Linked DNA regions of Nothobranchius furzeri. The protein of the gene in region 1 purifies or fractionates together with the protein of each later gene. This does not show direct contact. Links are inferred from orthologs where the notes say so. Each region holds a gene or a part of one and is shown on either strand. Other genes may lie near its edges. The genes, in order: dtl and cops6.

Region 1 (16,580 bases):
GACAAAGAACACCATAAATAACATTTCTTCTGCAGAAATTCAGTGGACCTGCAGACTGTTATGTCCAAAATCCTGTGAAAGTGCAGAACTCGTCTCCTTTTAGTTCCATCCATTGCCCTCCGCTGATCCGGGGTCAGGTTGCGGGGGCTGCAGCAGCCTAAACGTAGAGTCCCCAGCCACTTGGGGCCAGCTCCTTTGGGGGAATCCCAAGTTGTTCCCTGACCAGCCAAGAGACATTGTCCCTCCAGCGTGTCCTGGGTCTTCCCTTAGGTCTCCTCTCAGTTCGACATGCCAGAATACCTCCTGCATGCCTTCCTTGGGAGGTTTTTCAAACCAGATGCCAGAGCCACCTCAACTGGTTCCTCTCGATGTGGTGGAGCAGTGGACCGAGCCCCTCCCGGATGACCGAGCTTCTCAGACACCCTGCAAAGAAAACTAATTTTGGCCGCTTGTATCCACAATCTCATTCATTCGGTCATTACCCAAAGCTCGTGAGGGTTGGGACGTAGATCGACCGACAGAGCTCCTTGTAGTGGTTTTATTAAAAGTTTAACGCTTTATGAAAATTTTAAACTGGCTTTTAAACATAAAAGTAAGATTTGGGAGAGTTGTTCACAATCAACTTAAGGAGAAAAACAAAACGCTGCAAAACCTGTTTGCTGAATAATTACCAATAAATACATCAAAACCGATCCATAAGGGTTCGAATGAAGGCAACTAGACTTCTTTGGTTTCTTTAAGACGTTTCGCTTCTCATCGGAGGACCTTTTTCCAATTATGACTGCAATAAGGGATGGTCAAGCTCATAATCAATTTCCCTCTGGGATTAATAAAGTATTTTTGAATTGAATTTGAATTGAATAACAGTCCTTTGTCTTTATGTCTGTTTCATCTAATTTTTATCTTCTATGTTTTTCTTTATGTAAAGCTAACTATGAGTCTGTTGCTGCTGCCTCTTGGCCAGATCATCGTCGTAAATGAGAATGTGTTCTCAATCGGCTCATCGGGCTAAATGAGGGTTAAATAAATAAAAATAAATAAGCTGCAGCTGTCTATTGTTGCTTAACGAGCAGAAACTGACTCTGAAAACCAACTTCCTTTCATTTCCAAAGGTAGGTCACGTAAAACCTTTTGAGTTTTTTTTTTAAATCATCGCTCCCATTTCAAGTTCAGTGCTAATTTCCTCTTTTAATCATGCAACCACATTGCAGACGTTCTTTCACGCACGACAGCAGAAAATCAAAACACAAAATTCTTTGAGACACGTTTGGTTTTTCAAAACCTCGATAGTTGAGTCATGTTAGAAAGCGTCAGCAACCTGACAGAACAAGTTCCCTTCACTCCAGCTTTGCTCGGCCCCTTCAGCATCAAAATATTTCTCAAGCTGTTGCAGCTTGTCAAACTTAAAGTGGAGAGAAACTCGCTAAATTATAGCTCTGACTACGGTGGATCATCTCCAATCCTCTTCAAGGCAAGACTTGTGTACAACCTGCTGCTCTTCAGTGGTATAGTGACAAAAGCAAACGGTGTAAAAACCCTCAATGTTGATTGAAACAAATATATGTAGTCAACAGCAGGACTGGTGTGACTAGACGCTAGAGGAAGCTAACCGACAGACGCGACAAAGGTGTCTGGTATCAGCATGCATGCTTCGATTTGTCACGTTATTGATGCACTTGCAAAGACAAACAGCTAAAACAAACATACGTGTCTGTCAACATATTGTAGCGAATCTCAAACACAGATCACTGTCCAAGAATGAAGCAAAACGACCTGTCAGGAGAGTGGCGCGAAAAAAATAATAAAAGAATTGTAGTTGAGATACACTTTAAAGTTCTCATGTTCTCTTTTTTTAAATGAATTTGCTTTGGGTGGGAGGGCAGAAAATGACAGGACATCAATCAAATCTATTTCCCTCTGGGATTAATAAAGTATTTTTGAATTGAATAGAATTTGAATCAGATATCTCTTCCTGACTGGCTAACAGCAAAACAACACTTTCACTGCCTTCATTTGCAGTGTTTTTCCTTGTGTAAAAAAATTCGTTAATTTCATCTCCACAACTAACAAGCCTAAACTTGCTCCTCCGTGTTGTGGAGTTGCTAATGCTAATGGTTAGCTTCTACTAGTAAAGACGCACTCTGGTAACAAAATCAATACCGTAGACCGGGAAAACAAGTCTTCCCTGTAACGTAGAAGAGACTGGCTTGATGGTTTCCCCATCCATTTCCTTTCTGCGGCTAACGCAAGTGATGAAAGTTGAACATTTTCATGTTTAGCATGCTTATTCAACTGAGAATGAGCGATTTTATTACAAAAAGAATCATTACAATGTTTCCCAGTCAACGAGACCTTTAAAATGCATAACACCAGTGTTTATGAAAACATGTGAAATTACACACACAAATGAACAACCTGGTGTGTCTGTTTCTATAGTTTCTACCTGCAACACATAGCCATGTAGCAGCCTACCCAATAGGCGGCTCGTGGGCCAGGTCCGGCCCGTGAACCCCACCTCTTTGTGGTACCTGGACCACCACCACTACCCCTCCTTCCCTCCCGGTATGGCCCTCAACATCATAGGAATTCTTTAGTGAGGCCCTTGGCCACTTATATTCGAGTACCCCTGCTCTAGATGCTGCATCTCCCTTTGAATTGTTATGATTTAAATGGAAACTTTCAGATAGATCATCTTGATGAGTAAAAGCACGTTGTGCACCAAAATCAAATTGACCAGTGATCAGAATTGGCCAATAATCTAGGCACTCAGTGCTTTCTATTATTCACACACTCAAACACTGACTCTGCCAATGATGGTAAGCTACTATGTAGCCACAGCTGCCTTGTGGTGGTCTAACAGAGGCAAGACTGCAGCTCCTCTGACTATCACCAACATAGGCAAGTTAAGGGTCTTGCCCAGAAAGACAACAGCAGAATACCCTGACAGGACCCGTGATCGATCCTGCAGTCTTCTGATCACTAGGCAACCCGCTCTACCTCCTGAGCTAATCAACAACGACTGAAATCTGTGATCAAATCTTCCAAGTGGAAGAGATTCTGTTTATTTTAGTTCCTTGAGGTAAATCAGGACAGTGCTGCAGTAAAATCAGAGCTCGGTATTGGCCTTTAAATCCAGAATCGGCACAGCCCAAATGTGAACTCACTCATTATGATCAGACCCATGCCTTTCTGAAATAACTCCAAGTAACATAAAATACAATTACAAATGACAAACGTGGCCACAGAAAACTCTAAATATTCTGTAAAATGTTGAACATTAGATTTGCACCCACAAGATTAAGACTTTAGCCAAGAAAAACAGAACTATGTAGTTTGCACAGAGAGAGCAGGCACTCGGGACCATTAAAGCGGCAGACCTGCACCCTCTCACCGTACCTTTGAGCTGCGGCAGCGGGGAGAGCTCCACCACGGAGCTCTGACTTCGGTACTGGGACGAGCCCTGGGATTTTCTCTGTTTCTGCGCCTTCCTCATGGACTTCCTCGTGAAGCCATCCACCTTCTCGGATGCAGTGATGGCCGACATTTTGGTGCATAAACTCACGAAGATGATCGCAGACGAGGAGCTGATCGTAGGTTAGGTGATCGTGGGGGTTTCCGCCTCCTCTTCACATCAGCATCAGATTCTGGAGCGAAGTGTCCGTCTCATCCAACATTTTCGGTGCGCACTCCGGGGCTAGACCGAGTCGTTCACCTGCATAACCTGCATAATTGAGGTGTCTCAATTGTAACCAGTTTTAAACGCAAACTAAATATCAAAGAAAAGCCAGATCAACACACCGAAAGCTCTACGATCCAAAGTTAACCGCGTAACACTACTAAGCGGCCAAATGTTTGTGTTTCATCATGTTTGCGATGGGTCTACCTGTTGCAAAACATGCATGATATATTGCCATCTGAAAAAAGTTTTCTGAAATTGGCGTAAAGTAGCAAAAAGCGCAGTTTTAAACCCCCAACTCCACTTCAAGCCCCGGATTTAATCCTTCAGACTTCCGCCGAGTGTCGCTAAGAGCTATTCTTGCTTCACCGACTCGTTTAGCCTAAAGTTACCCGCTTAAAGCGACTGTTTGCTTTGCTGCATTCCTCGCGGACTGAAGAGCGTCGGTTCCGGTTTCACGGCCTCGAAAAAGACGAAAAAAAATACCCCCCACACACAACTGAGTCGATCAGGCAGCCATGAACGCTCCCGTGTTTTCCGCCTGTGCAGTCGGTGGACTGACGACAGGTTTACGTTTGACGTTTCTGACAGCCAATCAGAAGTTGAGACTTACTTTTTTAACCAATCAGAAGAATGAAAACAGTTCGAAACGTCAGATAGAATTACCAAATAAGTGAAAAAAAAAAAAAAATATATATATATATATATATATATATATATATATATATATATATATTATATTAATAATTTATCATTCATCGATATTTATATATTTTAAAAATATATAATATATGAGTTTAAAACAATAAAATGTCCCACCACCTTTTAATAAACAAAATATAAAATTAAACACCAACATTTGAAACAAGTTTAATATATGAACATTTGAATCCAACAAACGTGTGATGATAAAATACAAATACATTTTTTTCTTATTTGTACATGTAAACAGCTAAACAGGCACATGTCCTCAAGAGCAAAAAAAATTTAAATAAAAATGTCTGCATAAAATGAATGAAATACAAACAAGAAATCCATGTATGAGAAATATAACAAAAATTAAGACATTTTTTTAACTATAGAGCTGATTTTTGATTAATTTGTTTTTAAATGCAAGTCAGCACATGGGCTATATTATATAAATGAAACAAAAAGATAACCCTCACCCACAGTTAAATGTTACAAAAAATCTGACCTTTTATCAAAACCTAAAGCATCTATTGATGTTTTTAAATTGAAGTAAATTGGTAGATTTACATATGAACATAGAAACAGAATTTCTGTGAAGAACCAGAAAATTGGGTAACAGGCAACATCACAACCTAAGTTCAGTTAAAACAACAATCATAAAAATATTTTTAAAACGCTAATTTCTAAATATCTAAACAAAATCAAACATGCTTCTTAGGCTGTGCAAACTTGGTTTGAAATATCCCCTAAGCTAAATCCTTCCCTCGTTCAGCTCTCATTCAGACTCCTTTTTTCAAAATACACAGAGATTTTCTTCATGGTCTTTAACCAACTCGAGTCAACTCGAATCTGGAACAACAAAAGAGGAAAAGTCAGGCATGATACTCGTTATAAGAGTTTAAATCTTTAGATTAAAAACACAAAAACATGATTTTTTCCCCCCGACAAACAGAAAAAGTCGTGAATGCAAATAATTCTATTTTCGTGGAACTACAGTTGAAGTAAAAGGCGGACATGCTGATCATTTGTGTAAAAAGGTGAATCTGCTCCTAAACCAGGGAGCCGTGGACTTACTGGTGAAGTCTGTGCTTTTCCATCTGGTCTTTTAAAGTAACTGGGCTTCCTGAGAGCAGCAGGACTTTCAGGACTATTCTTCATCTTTTGGCTCATTTCTGACAGCCAGTTAGTCGCTCTGGGAAAGCGGTTCTCCTTTCCAGCCTGTCTGAAGGAATCTTGTTTGCCTTTATCTGTGCGACAGTCTGTTTGTCCTGAGTTCTCCTGAACTGGGCGACAGACTTCAGACTGGACGCGGCTTCTCTTGGCCGTGGGGTAGAGTCCAGTTTCACAGTCACGCTGGTTGGCGTCCTCACAGTGCTGAGATGACTGTTCATCGGTTTCCAGCTTCCGTTTGGTTCGGGGCTGATCTGAAGAGGTGCTACTCTCTGGGCTTGAAGGAAGAAAAGGGACCTGACCTGGAGACTCGTGGGTTGGAGAAAGCCACTTTTCAATGGAGGACGCTCTGTGATGAGCAGCAGGCGGCTTAGAACGGATGGGTGATGTGGTGTTGGAGGGGAGAGGCAGATCGGCTCCACTGGGGGCACAGGCAGCAAGCAGAGGTGAGGGGAGACCAGAAAGACTCCTCACTTCCCAGTCTTTCAAAGGCGTCGTTTCAGGTCTGAGTGAAAGACCTGAACAGCAAAAGTCACACCAGTTCAGCTCAAACCATTAGCCTACTCAATCATGTAGTGCAGCTTTAATGTTTTTGCCGGTGTTGCTCAGAAAGTGATAACTGGATTTTCATCTAGAACTAATTCAATATGGTCGCCACAGATAAACAACAAGTACGTACTGGTGGGAAGTTTAGGTCGTGCCCAGCCTACAAGGTTGGCCTCCCCCACCGATGACTGTGGATCATCAGTTTCCCTGTGAAGTCTCCATATCCGGACAGTGTGATCATCGGAGCAGGAAGCAATCTGTCAACAGAGCAGAGGGGGTAAAAAAAGTAACTTTTTAAAACATAAAAATAATCAATCAAAACAGTTCAAATGTGAAAAAATAAACATTCTTGGTTAAGAAATTTTGTATTAAAACATTACATTCTGGTTCATCACCCTGAGGTTTAAAAACATACTTTGGCAAAATCCGTTGGACACCAAGCGACAGATGTCACTTCCTCGCTGTGACCCTGAAGCGTCATGGGAGGACGTTGAGGATCAGAAATCTGAAATGTTATCAAGTAGTTTTTATGCTCTGCTCTTTGATAGAATCAACACGAGGAGAGAAAAAAAAAAAAAAGATTTAGGCGCTGGCGTAAGGCGGTACCTTCCAGATGTGAACGTTGTTGTCACTCGAGCCACTGGCCAGGAACTGGTCGTTGGGGCTGATGGTGGACTTCACATAAAACGAGGAGTTCTGGTGTCCACTGAAAACTGCCACTGTGTGAGCAAACGTGATTCAGAACTTCAGGCATTAAAGCCGCTATAACAAATCTACACAACAAGCTAGGCTTCAACCTCAAACACAGTCACGAAACACTCATCCCTCCCCTCGAGTATCTTCCCTAAGGCTCTTCTGCTGGAACTGGAAACCCACTACGATGGACAAAACGAGATATTGCTAAACACCAGTCGCTGTTTTCTAGGTCCAAACGTCTTTTGTTGTCTGTGATTTCAAATGGTGTTTATATTTTCAGAACTTTGGTAGATTGTCTAAAAGTTGAAGTGGTAGCAGCCGGCTGTTTCTCCTTTTCTGATATTATTGAGTGGAGAACCTCTCACACCAGTGGTGTTCTGTTGCTAAATACGTCAGTGCGTAAAGAATGGAGAACCCAGGAAAGTGTGGTGGTTCTGACAACTGGATGGTCCTATGGTTGCTTTTGGTCCGAAGCATGTTATTGGCCCTCCGCCAATCAGACAAATGTAAGAGAACATTTTATTAATTTTTTTATTATTTTATTAAATTTATTTATTTGTTATAAATGCAGGGGACTGTTCTGTTCTGGTCCTGCTGGACCTGACTGCAGCCTTTGACACTGTTGACCATCACCTGCTACTGGAGAGGCTGAGAGACTGGGTAGGCCTATCAGGATCTGCTCTGGAGTGGTTCTCCTCTTATCTCTCTGAGCGCTCCTTTTCTGTGGCCGTCTCCAAGTTTAGGTCCTCCACCACCTCTCTTACCCATGGTGTCCCACAAGGTTCTGTGCTGGGGCCTCTGCTCTTCCTCCTCTATCTGCTTCCTCTTCAGCGCATCCTGAGCTCCTTCAAAGTAATCTCCTACCATCTTTATGCAGATGACATCCAACTGTACATCTCCTTTAAGCCCCATGAGATGTCTAAGCTGCAGCTGTTACACACCTGCTTAGACTCTACGAAAACCTGGATGGCTGGAAGCTTTCTTCAGCTGAATGAAGATAAGACTGAGAACCTCATCTGTGCCCCAGACAAGCTGGTTCCCAAAGTCAGAGACTCTCTTGGTCAGCTTGCTTCTCACACCAAACGTTCCGTCAGGAATCTTGGCGTGACCTTTGACCCAGCTCTCACCCTGGATTCTCATGTCAGTTCTCTTGTTCGCTCTTCCTTCTTCCATCTCAGGAACATTGCTAAGCTGAGTCCCATTCTGTCCTCCTCTGAACTTGAGACAGTTATCCACACCTTCATCTCCTCACACTTAGACTACTTTAACTCTCTTTTCACGTGTCTGAGCAGAACCTCCCTGAACCGTCTACAGCTGGTTCAGAATGCCTGTGCTCGGCTTCTGACCATGTCCTCCAAACACACCCACATCACTCCGCTTCTCCTCCAGCTTCACTGGCTGCCAGTCAACTTCGGGGTTCATTTCAAGATCCTGGTTCTGGTCTATAGGGCCTTACATGGACAAGCACCATCTTACATTGATGATCTTCTTAGTCCCTACACCCCCAGCAGGTCCCTGAGGTCCAGTGATCAAAGCCTACTGGTTGTGCAGCACCAGGCTAAAGACCAAAGGTGACAGATCATTTGCTGCTGTGGCCCCCAGACTCTGGAACTCTCTCCCCCTGAGCCTGAGATCAGTGGACTCAGTGGACTCCTTCAAAAAGCAGCTGAAGACTCACTTGTTCAAGCTGGCTTTTGTATGACCTTCTTCACCACTCTCTCTTTATTCTGCTCTCCCCATCTATTCCACCTTCCTCAGGATCCACTGATTTCCCTCTTTCCTGTTCACTCTCTCTCTCTTTCTTAACATTTTTTCTTTTAAATCGCAATTGCTTATTCTTGCTCATTTTAAATATATTTTTGAACATTTTTGAAATGCTTTTTTATATTTTTACAATTTTTATATTTTTTGTTATTGGTTTTTGTGAAGCTCCTCGTGATTTTTATCTTGAGAGGCGCTATAGAAATGATATTTTTTCTTTCTTTCTTTTCTTTCTTGTTGTGACAAGATCTGAAGATTTAAGTTTCCAAAAAAAAAAACAACTAAAAAGCATCTCAACTTCTCCCTTCTGGTGCTCTGCTCCCCGCCAAAGTAAAAGCACAAACCCTTAGCACCATCTAGTGATTTAAAAGCAGTAAGGAGAAAACGGTCTCTGTGCCAAAGATATAAAACCTGTCCTTGTTACCTGGTGATGTTTTAATCCCACACACGTTAAACATGTAGATGTTGTCATCTGTGCAATTGCACATGACGTTGGATCTCGAGGAGTCCAGAACGAGTCCGGAATAACCTGCAACATTAATTTCAGTTCATTTGGAGTCTTTTGGATATATATTTATATATTATTAATATGTTGATCTTTACAGAGCAGGACCGACCCAGACGCATGCGTGTGCAGGTGCCAGAGTATGGATAAGTCTGCAGAGGAACGGGATCGTGGCGACATGGGCTGTAGCTCTTCCTCAGATCCCACATTTTTATTACTCTGAAAGGGTGGGTGGGGTCATTTTTATGGTCAATTTTATTTTGACGAGCTGAAGAGTTGTGCGTTTACCCATCAACAGCTCCTGAAGAGATGAGTGTGTGTTGATCCCGAAACAAAACCACAGTCACACTCTGCTGAGTATCCTGGGAAAACAAAGATAAGAGATTTTTGTCGTACCAGGGAAAAAAAAGATAATTCAGAAACTCACCACACTCGGAGCCATCCCACGTATGCTGCTCCGTCTCTTCTTCCACTTAGGAGGAGGATGCAACTCTGCTTTGTTGTGAGCGCCGCTGATCTGTTTGACCTGCTTGTAAAAGCCATCTGAGAACGAGACACAAATCACGAGAAACACACCAAGAACATTAATCACCCAAATGCATTTACTTGCCAACAACTGAAGCATTTGCAGCAGAAGTTCCTAACCTTTTTGGCTGCACCTTATGTCCCAGACCATAATATTTCCATCTCTTCCTCCAGTGCAGAAAACAGCTGTTTGTCAGAAGAAAATGCAACAATTATTGGATGTTGTAGGAACTATCGACGTTTCTTCACAAGATCTTCTGTAACGAATCTGAGGGAATCACCAACTGAAGACACAATTTTACTGAAAGACTTGCGAAGAGGATCCTTCATGTCCTTCACTTTGTGATCTGTCTTCTTTTGTCCAATCAGCTCTAGACACTCTACACTAATGTCTGTCCTTGATGTAGGTAAACTGCTGAGTCTTGACCTGATGAGTTGGCTCTTCTGCAATAGGCCATCCTTTTGTGTAGCTGCGGTTTCGCCGGTGTAGAACATTCATGCTACTCTCCACTTCCTACACGTAGACAATAGCCACAAAGAAAAGAACCAGGACACCTCCGCATTTCCATCTGTAGACGTTATCTTTGTATTTGAAATAAGTGACGAAAAGGCATGGATGTTATCGGTCACCAAGAAGCTACATGAATGGATAATAGAGGAGATTACGCGCTACACGACAGACCTTCAAAGTTAAAGCCTCATTGGTCCTCACACACTGGTGAAATTCATCTCCGCATTTGACCCATCCCATGGGATGTGGTGAGCTGCAGCGGTGGCTGCGCTCAGGAACTATTTGGTGGTTTAACCCCCAATCCAACCCCTTAGCAGGGAGGCGTTTGTATGACCAGACCGGGATTTGAACCGCAATCTCCCAGTTCCAGGGAGGACACTCTTCCACTAGACCACTGAGAACATATCTTTCTGCAAATACTAAAGATGTCGCGCCTGCTCTGCCCTTTCTTACAGCTTTGCTGTTGAGTCTCCAATAGAAATTGCTGTTCAGTAGAACACCAATATCCCTCCATATCTTCTTCCACAATGGAACCAGGGTTTGACATAATACATCCATCATCTTTTGCTTATCCGTGGTCGGGTCATGGGGGCAGCAGCCTGAGCAGAGACGTCCAGACTTCCCTCTCCCCAGCCACTTGGGCCAGCTCCTCCGAGGAATCCCACGACATTCCCTGGCCAGCCGAGAGACACGATAAATGACCCGCACTTGTAGAGCGCCTTTCAGAGTCAGAGGAATTAAAAGTGCTTTACATTACAGTGTAACATTCATCAATTCACACACTGGTGGTGATGAGCTAAAATGTATCTCAACTGGCTTCTCTTGATGTGGAGGAGCAGTGGCTCTACTCCGAGCCCCTCCCGGTAAACCAAGCTTCTCGCCCCATCTCTAAGAGAGCCCAGACACCGTGCAGAGAAAACTCAGTTTGGCCACTTGTATCCACAATCTCGTTCTTTTGGTCACTACCCAAAGCTTGAAGAGCACGTCACCCCTCCATTGGCTACCGTTAGCTGCACACATCAGATTCAAATTGCTAACGGTAGCATACGAAGTCCTGGATGGTACGGCTCCCATCTACTAGAATCCTCTTATAAAGGTGTACGTCGTGGCCCGGCTGCTCTGGTCATCGAATGGTCGTCACGCTCAGGACAATCCAGACTCTTCATGTGTCGTTCCACAGATGTGGAATGCCCTGCCAAGCACTACCAGAACAATCCTTTTGGTTTTAAAGAAATTCCTGAAGATCCAGATTTTCTGAGAACATCTTCCAAACTAGCACCCTCCCAACACCCGTCCTCCACTCTACTGTCCATCCTTATTCACTTCCCTTTGTGATTCATTATGCTGTCTCACTGCCACCTAGGATTGATTGATTAGTATTTATTGTTAGCCTCAAGGGCAACCTGCTGGCTTCATTATCGCTTGTAAGTCACTTTGGACAAAAGGTGTCTGCTAAATACGTAAACATAAACAAGACTGAGCGGTAAACCGGGAGCTTTGCTTTGCGGCTCAGCTCTCTCTTTACCACGACAGACCAGTGCAATGCCCAGTACAGCTGGGATTATTGACATATTCCCAGTTCTTCAAAACAACTTCAACAAATGAGGAGCAGAGTCCCCCTGGGTGCTCCCGACAACTCGTTCAGACAACATTTCGGTCTCACACCAAGGTCTGTAGTCACTGATCCAGGGGTTGTGGAGGTGTCCAACTGTGTCTTCTCAAGTTTCTTTCATATTAAAATCAGCCTGGATTGTGTTCTGGAAAAGTCAAAGAACATAACCCACAGTGCCACTCGCTTTGATCGTTGGAAGTGTGTGATGATGTCTTCAACTACAGCTGCATGATGATAATGATGTATGATGTTACTGCAACAGATGGAGATTTCTTAGGCAGGGCTTCTTCCAGAGCAATGGAACCTTCACCTGGGTCAGGCTAAGGTTGACCAATCCCACATAGGTGCTTCGGCCGTTCCTTGAGGACTTTGGATTTGAAACCATCTGGTTATGCAGCTTTAATCAAGTTTAGTGTCTCCATTTGCCTCTTCATCGAACTGCAGAAGACAGACAGGTGCCAGGAAGGAGGCAAACGGAGCCTTTCCTGATGTGGTTGACAATGATGAGGAAACCGCAGCAGCTGGAAGATAAAACGGTTGAGGTGTGTTGGGAATCTGGACGAAGGGACAGTAGATGCGTTTGGCTGGGGACCAGAGAGGAGAGCGCTGAACTGAAGCTTTTAAAGAACGAGCCAAGTTCATTCAAGCTTCAGCTTGGGAACTCCTCATCAATTCATATCTACACTTTGATTTACTCTTTACTCCACAATGATTCCATGTCTCCCTCCCTTAAGGTTCTTCTTTTAGAGTTCTTTCAGTTCACATTTGACCCAGGGTTTGTTGTTGGGGTGGCACCTCACTGTTCTTGACCTTTGGTTGATTCTTCATCACTACCTTCTCCTCATTCAGCTCCATCAATTCTGCCTTTCCCGGGATCCACTGATCACTTACTTATTCGTTTTCCTTTTCCTCACATTTTTTCATCACAAACTTTGTACTTCTCCTAATTTTATGATTTTTTTAATCTTGTGATTTTTTTTCTTGAGAAGTGCCATATAATCCTCAAAATCTCCCTGTGATCATCTCCTCACAGTTCCTCTGGTCACAGGTTGACTCTAGACAAGGGGTGTTGCACAAAGGGCAGAGAAAGACAAGATAAGGATCCACGATGCCAGGAGCTGGATGCATCCTCGACGTTGGCAAATAGCAAATCCAGCGGGTTTTTTTCCTCTGGTGGAGAAGCGGACATGCTGCTGAAATCTTGGCAGTGCAGCAGAGAGAAGCATGGTGAAAATATCCAGATAATACCACAGATGCTTTTGGGGGTTATGTCTGTAACGTAGCAACAACTGTGCTGATGACATCACATGCAGAGTGAGCAGGAGATGATGCTGGAATGTATACTACTACCACGACAACACTGATGAAGTCTCGGCTTCATTTTCAGACATGCTTTTTCACAGTAGTGAGCTGTAGATTGCACCATCTGTTGTTGACAATTAATGTTTAAAAACAACAATAAAATAAAATTATGCAACAGATCTTGGGCCATTTAATTTGCCCCCCCCCCCCCACACACACACACACACACACACTCATTTATTTTGAATAAATATTTTCCTCAACTAAAGCGAAGAATGTGATACACCTGAAATGATCAGTGCAAAGTTGATGTATAGACAATTCAGGACAAGCCCTTTCTGCATCACCTACAGAGTGGTTTCCATGGTAACATGACACACATCTCTCTCTCTCTCTCTCTCTCTCTCTCTCTCTCTCTCTCTCTCTCTCTCTCTCTCTCTCTCTCTCTCTCTCTCTCTCTCTCTCTCTCTCTCTCTCTCTCTCTCTCTCTCTCTCTCTCTCTCTCTCTCTCTCTCTCTCTCTCTCTCTCTCTCTCTCTCTCTCTCTCTCTCTCTCTCTCTCTCTCTCTCTCTCTCTCTCTCTCTCTCTCTCTCTCTCTCTCTCTCTCTCTCTCTCTCTCTCTCTCTCTCTCTCTCTCTCTCTCTCTCTCTCTCTCTCTCTCTCTCTCTCTCTCTCTCTCTCTCTCTCTCTCTCATCACAGTTGTCGTTTTTTGCTTATTCAAAACACATTTTTAATTATTTTCTAAAATCGTGATTTTATCTTGAGAGGCGCTATAGAAAAGATCATTTTCTTTCTTTCTTTAATATTTTCAGCTCATCTCGTTTAATAACAATGACCGTCAAGATTAAACGCTGAAAAGGTGACAGGTAAATATTTACTCCTGGAGTCTGATTTTTCTGATATCAGAAACAAAACAACAACTATAAAATGAATTCATTCTAAAACATTATGCATACATTTCTTCAGAATGATCCACAGAAACGTGAAAGCAGCCCAGAGCTGGACTCAACACCACAGCGCAGCATTTGTGTAAAATCTACCTTTTTCCCCCGGAGCAAATGCAACAGACTTGAGGCTGCAGAGGTGACCTTTGAAACTCCCTAAAAGCTCCCCAGACTTCACATCCCACAGCCTGGCCATCTGGTCACCAGCAGCAGTCACCTGATGAAGGCAGAACATGTTAGAAAAAGATTCACTGGTATTAGAATAAATTATTTTAAAAAAAACTAAGTTCTGTTACACAGAGCTTGAATAAGTAGTTGAAATTATAGCATTTATACCAGCTGAGGCTCTCCTGGCACCCATGCAATGTCAAAGACAGCATTCTCATGAGCTAGCCATTCTGTAAAGTTCACATTCAGTTAGAAAACATCATCTGTACACACACAGAAGTAATTATGGAGCGATGTTCAAGTACCTTTAAGAAGAGGGTTTTCCTGGCTCTCTGTGTTGTAGATCCGAACAATCCCTTCTTCATTCGCTGCTGCAAGAATATTTTGCAGCTCAGCACCTAAAAGGAGATGCATTTAGTTTTAAAAATAAGGGAACATTGCCGTATTCCAGTATTTTCACATCATGCAAATAGATTACTGGAGGAGAAGGTCAATCCAAACGGTGGCATGGAGTCGCCCATGTTCCCATAAGAGATGTGCTCATCTTGTCGGGCACACTGGTAGCCTCCCAGCAGGAAGCTGAGGGGGATTCTGGAGCAGGAGTCTGCATGGAGAGCTGCACAGATGGAAACCATGGTAAATCAGAGCAATCGGATTCATGAACGCTGACTCCTAAATGAACTTTGGACTGTATATTCCTCAGAAATGTAGTTAAATTTTTCTGTTTGTACCCTTTTTATTTGTTTATTGTATGAGAGAGGGAGCCTGGAGCCATGGACGTAATTTTTTTTTTGGGGGGGGGGACATGTCAAGTTTTGACCCCTGCACTTTTTACCATCCAAAAACAATATTACGCTATATTAAATTGACACTGGTTGAGCTCTAGGACTAAGCGGAAAACAACCGTTTGTGTTGAAGCCTGTTTCCCATTAGAGCATACTGTAAAGATCCCCCCACTTCTAAAGTGAAAATTACATCCATACCTGGAGCTAAAGGCTGTACCTGCCCTTTTAAGGTATGTGAAAAGCCAACGTATATAAATGCAGTGATCAAAAAGATCTGCAATGGGAGTGGTACCGGTTTGATTCCTGCTCACTCCAAACTGCCTTTAGGCAGCACACTTCACACACCTTGCTATTTCACCTCTGTAAGTCGCCTTGTATAATAGTATAATGCATAAACATAAAAAACACCGAGAACGAACACAAAGAAACACAAAAAAAGGATTTTTAGCTATTTCACTCTTTGCTGGTTATTTTGATGGTGATCACAGATAATGTTAAAGCTCAGCTAAATAAAAGTTTAGTTAGGGAATAATTATTAAATTGTGCTGGCATAAAATGTTTGAAAATACTAAAGAAACCGCAGGATGACGTAGCATTTACGTCATATGCTGATTTCAGTTGGCTTTTTGAACATTTCTTCTCTCAAAGATAAAGAACCAGAACGAGACAGCCATCTAAGATTAAACAGCTATATAGATTTTTCTATGCCAAACACAAAGGTTGATTTTTTTTCCCTATCAAGCTAAAAGCTACCAGCAGTTACAGATCTCAAAGTCCCCTAAGCGCATCGTGGCTCACCATTTTGCCTCCGTCGACCCACTTCTCTGTCAACAACAGAACGGAAAAGCACTCCCATCATCCAGTACAGAGACGATCTGAAAGAAACACTTAGAAGTTGGTCAGATCGTGAACTGGGGGTCTCCTCTTGTCTGTAGCTGCTGATTATATTTCCCGCGTATTGATCAACTAAGGGGAAGAACCAAATTACGCGCGAAGCGTTTTATTCAACTTCTATTGGCACGTTGGTGCCGCGGTTCAAAGGTCGACTTCCTTAACGGGATCGTTTCCGCTTCTGCTTCCTTTCAGGGGAAAATCCTTCAAAATAAAAGAACCACGCAGGCACGTAAACAAAAACAAACATGCGAACGACAGCATAAAAAAATACACGAAGATCACTGAGATGGAGTCATCGACGACCAAGCAGAGCTTTTTACTAGCCATGAAAAAGTATAGAAACACATATGGTTAAATAATAGCATTTTTAAATAAACCACAAATAATGATCTGTATCAGTCGAGAAAACATTCTCTCTATTTGAAATAACTGCAGAAACTCTTTTTTAATGCAATCTATTTATTTACACCACGGTAAATAGATAACCTAATTTAATTCAAGATTTTTATCTTTTGAAATAAATCAAGCATTTGTGAGTTGTGTCATGTGAAAATTTTCTTTGAAAAGCACCAGACCGGATATAGTGTTACTGTAACACAACAATGCTACTTAGCATCGCCTGAGCGTTGAGAAGATAATAGGAATAGTCATTTATTATACCTCAAATATTAACCGAAATTTTAAAAAATGTCACTTTCAACAGCGCGATCATTTCTATCGGAGGCTTGTTATGGGGAGCAAGAACTAGACGCTAATTCCGCTCTTATGGAGCTGGACAAAGGTGCTAACCAGTT
Region 2 (4,053 bases), on another chromosome or scaffold:
AGGCCATCTGTAACTGGTATCCTTGTCGTCCCGTAATTCCTATTTCAAGAAATTTCAGCCGTGAGAGCCCTTCTACCCCCGAGAGACCATCCTTGGCTGCACAATTTCGAAGCCCATTAGCTGTTATACGAAAAGTGTCACGCAACTCCAGTTGACTTAGCCTCTGCCACGATGTTAGACTCTGCAGATGCTGGTCTGTGAAAGAGGGCACATTGTTGAGGATTAACTTCTCAATACAAACTCCCAGAGGAGAGCCAAGCCCTGTTCCTTTCTGATCCCTTCCTTGATGAGGAGCACTAGAAGTGGCTTCTGCTTTGCCAGGGGGATGAGTGGCTGAATTAGAAGAGCTTTGGTTGAAAAAACCCCGAGGCAACTCACAACCACGCAGCTCCAGCACTCTCAAAGTTCGAGGGAAAACCAGGCAGTTAGGTAGACTTCTCAGGTCTGTATGCAGAAGGTAGAGCTTACTCAGACGGGGACATCTTGTGGACAAAGCTTTGAGCCAAGACTCAGAGAGAAAGGTGCCGCCTCGGGCTGACAGCAGCAAACCTCGCAAGCGAAGGCATCTTAGTCCACAACCAAGGTACTGACGCAGCAGGACCCAAAGGATGCGGGATGTCACCTGACACAGTGGATAGTGTGTGTGTGTGTGTGTGTGTGTGTGTGTGTGTGTGTGTGTGTGTGTGTGTGTGTGTGTGTGATGGGGAAAAGGAGAAAATAACTGTTAATAACTATGCAAACAAACACATTTTTCTTTAGGTTAAAATACACACGTATCACTGACTGGTTCATTATGGGTAAATAAGTTGATTTTATTCATGAGAAAGTTCCTCTTTTACTTTGGTGTTGCATCTAAAACCATCAAGTGACTTTACAAACGCAAAACTTTGTGTTTACCGTTTCTGTACATATTTATGAAAAAGCGTATAATTTAGTCATTCAGACAAAACATTAAAAATAACTTCCTTCTGACACAGGTGTTACTGGAACAGATATTTTATGTCTAAAACCTAATGCAACATTGTTTGTAACTCGCAGGTGTTACTTTATTGTGATTATTTTCATAAAGAATAAACATCAGATAAATAAAACGTTAAAGCCACACAGTGTGCTGACAATTCTTACCCCCTTCCATGAGGTCAAGTCGACAGTTTTCCACAGTCTTTGGTCTTTAACAAGGCGTTTCCATCTTTTGCACACCCTAAAAAAAAGAGGAAAACAATGGCAGCAACACAGAGCAAACTCACTTACACCACCGGATGAGTCATAACAAAGAAAAAGCCTGGCGCTGAGTTTTTGGCATACAAGCAAAATTTCAGCTGGAATACAGGTCTTACCTTCCAGCTCTGACAAGCTCTTTGACGCTCAGGTATGACAAAACATCTATCAAAATGTTCTCGGGAAAGTAGTCCAGATTACAGGCTTTAAATTCGTCCATTTCGTTAAAAAAAAAAAAAAAAAACTCGTAAAGCTTCCACACGGACTAATATCCTGACGCACACGGGTTGCGCCCAAATCAGTAATCCCCAGGAAACGGCTACTCGTTGACTGTATGATGCTGTATGACCTAGACGTTGGATTAAAGAACATACAATATTATAAATTCCTTCGGATAGTTGTGTCTCCGTCGATATTTTCTTTCTTTTGATAACACTTGACAAATTTCTGACAAAGGTCGAGCTCCACACCTTGTTTTGAAACAGCCTGAAATGCAGTTTGTTGCCACCTAACGTTCGTTAGCTGAACAGCCCTCCTGCGCCTGCGCGTTGAATAGATGTTGCACCGAATTGTGTGACCATGGTATATTGTGACTCCAGGAGGCGCTGTTGCCTCACACACCGGACAAGATGGCGACCAGCGATGGTGGAGGAATGGAAGTGGATGGGGCAGGCGAGTATTTATTTCTTATTTCACCATTTAAGTCTGACATCAGCATAGATGGATGTACGATTCCCTTACATGCTGTACAGTTTGGGTGTGAATGACCCCAAGTTAAGACTTAGTGTCATTAAAGGCTGCTGCTGACATAAGTGGGTTAACGTGCACTGCTCAGTCTGTAGTCATGACTCTGGATGTTACCGTCGCTCCTTTTCTGTTCTTTGACTGGAGTCTGGATGACTTGTGTGAATATAAATTTATATACACTAATTGTTTTTTGAAAATACTATTTTATGTATTCTGTTCAAATTACAGCACAGCATATTAGAGGAGCACACGAGGGACGTTGTGTACACCTGATTTCCATTGCTCTGTCACGTCATTTTGGCAAAAACAAACTACAGTTCAGTTGCTTCCCTTATTTTCGCCCACCTATGGCTTCACTACTAAGTTTATTTCAATTCGGCTTTGTTATTTCTGTGTGATGATGCAAACCTAACTCTAACCAGTTATATTTATCCTGGCTGCTGCCTAGCTTGGCCAGGTCTCCCTTGAAAAAGAGGTTGTTAATCTCAGTGGGATCTTCTTGGTTCAATAAATACATCAAACATTGGCCATATAAACAAAAACATCTGCTTGTTTATTGTTGTTTGTCTGGGTTGGTATCTGGGTATGATATTGCTGTGGTTAATGTGATTGACACTTTCTCAGCATCTAAAAAAAACTGATTCACCCATAGTGCTGCAGCAGTTAGCGCCATACCACAGAGACAACTCTTTAAAAGGAGAATTGAGAGCATTACATTTAATTAGTCCAATTTCTGATTTAGTGGAGACATCCTTCAGCTGATTATCTGATAAATGAGACATACGAGGGATTCTTTGGGATCTGCCTTATTGGAGTTAAAATATTATTTTTATACATAATAAAACTTCAAATATTTGCTGTTTGTTAAAATGCAACCTCCTTTTTCCCAAAACCAGTCATTTGTTTTACAGTTTTTGTTTGTTTTCGAGTAAAGAGCTTTATGTTACATGTTGCTGGTGTCCAGTTAAAGCTTATTTTACATCTGTGTCCACGTGTCTGTAGTGGGCCCTAGTGTCATGGCCTCGGGAGTCACCGGGAGCGTTTCTGTGGCCTTGCACCCTCTGGTCATCCTCAACATATCAGACCACTGGATACGCATCCGCTCCCAGGAAGGGCGACCGATGCAGGGTATGTGTCTCTTTCTCACCTGTTTGTTCTTAAAGAAAAAAAAACTGCTTCCAGGGAGAAACAAACCCTGCAGTTATCAAAGCTTTGACTTAGATTCTCTGTAATTAAAATGCAGTAACGTTTAATGCCATAATAATAAGTGTTGTTCATCATGTGTTCTCCTTTCAGTGATCGGGGCTCTGATCGGAAAACAGGAGGGTAGAAACATCGAGGTGATGAACTCCTTTGAACTTATGTCTCACACCATAGATGACAAAGTGCACATTGACAAGGAGTACTACTACACCAAGGAGGAACAGTGTAAGCATGTTTAAACATAACACGTTTGACAGGTGTAAAGTGTTCTTATGGGGTGATTTTAATAAGACAATAATGAAATGTGTTCAGTTTTAAACTTTGTAAATCAAGTTCCTCTTCTTTTTTTTTTTTTCAAAATGATTGTTAACTTTCATTTTGTCTTTCAGTTAAACAGGTCTTCAAAGAAATGGAGTTTTTGGGCTGGTACACCACAGGTGGCCCCCCCGACCAGTCAGACATCCACATTCACAAACAGGTAGAAACACTCTGACGTCCGTGTGATCTTAGCTGGAAGGAGATAAAAGACAAAGTTAAAAAATGACCATAAAAGCAAACATGACCTCGTTCAGCAGTGTGAAACTTTATTTTTTCCAAAAATTGTCTTAAAATCCTTCAAATTGTGGCTTGAGTTATGTTCAGTTCTATTCAGTTTATCTATATAGCAAAAAATCATGACATGAGTTGTCTCTCAAGCCCACACTGTAAACATTTCAATAATAATAATAATACATTTTATTTCAAGCGCCTTTCAAAGCTCTCAAGGTCACTGTACAAGACAAAATATAACAAGCAAGCAATACAAACAACAAGAAATAAATGCTAAGAGTAATTCCCAAGGGTAGAGTCGGAGCAGTGCAATGGATAATAGACTAAAAAGAGTAG

What was found.
Region 2: the proteins of dtl (region 1) and cops6 purify together in Homo sapiens (affinity purification with mass spectrometry; 4 studies listed by BioGRID and IntAct, with this or other methods). This does not show direct contact. The link is inferred for Nothobranchius furzeri from reciprocal best matches to the Homo sapiens genes DTL and COPS6.

What each region holds. Positions count from the first base shown.
Region 1 is NC_091742.1:7,890,942-7,907,521, reverse strand, and holds dtl (denticleless protein homolog), read right to left. Parts: upstream 15,962-16,580; 5' UTR 15,752-15,961; coding exon 15,691-15,751; intron 14,724-15,690; coding exon 14,586-14,723; intron 14,506-14,585; coding exon 14,413-14,505; intron 14,338-14,412; coding exon 14,276-14,337; intron 14,157-14,275; coding exon 14,036-14,156; intron 9,756-14,035; coding exon 9,690-9,755; intron 9,588-9,689; coding exon 9,472-9,587; intron 9,407-9,471; coding exon 9,333-9,406; intron 9,264-9,332; coding exon 9,157-9,263; intron 9,069-9,156; coding exon 8,964-9,068; intron 6,802-8,963; coding exon 6,689-6,801; intron 6,588-6,688; coding exon 6,498-6,587; intron 6,340-6,497; coding exon 6,216-6,339; intron 6,055-6,215; coding exon 5,441-6,054; intron 5,216-5,440; coding exon 5,135-5,215; 3' UTR 4,533-5,134; downstream 1-4,532. Other genes in the region: ppp2r5a (serine/threonine-protein phosphatase 2A 56 kDa regulatory subunit alpha isoform), read right to left, coding at 3,397-3,544; ints7 (integrator complex subunit 7), read left to right, coding at 16,474-16,567. UniProt on the Homo sapiens protein: Substrate-specific adapter of a DCX (DDB1-CUL4-X-box) E3 ubiquitin-protein ligase complex required for cell cycle control, DNA damage response and translesion DNA synthesis.
Region 2 is NC_091741.1:79,987,571-79,991,623, reverse strand, and holds the start of cops6 (COP9 signalosome complex subunit 6), read left to right. Parts: upstream 1-1,253; 5' UTR 1,254-1,337; coding exon of another isoform or gene 1,338-1,438; exon of another isoform or gene 1,439-1,741; intron 1,742-1,817; 5' UTR 1,818-1,847; coding exon 1,848-1,890; intron 1,891-2,967; coding exon 2,968-3,093; intron 3,094-3,261; coding exon 3,262-3,393; intron 3,394-3,557; coding exon 3,558-3,646; intron 3,647-4,053. Other genes in the region: F-box/LRR-repeat protein 12, read right to left, coding at 1-622, 1,126-1,201, 1,338-1,438. UniProt on the Homo sapiens protein: Component of the COP9 signalosome complex (CSN), a complex involved in various cellular and developmental processes.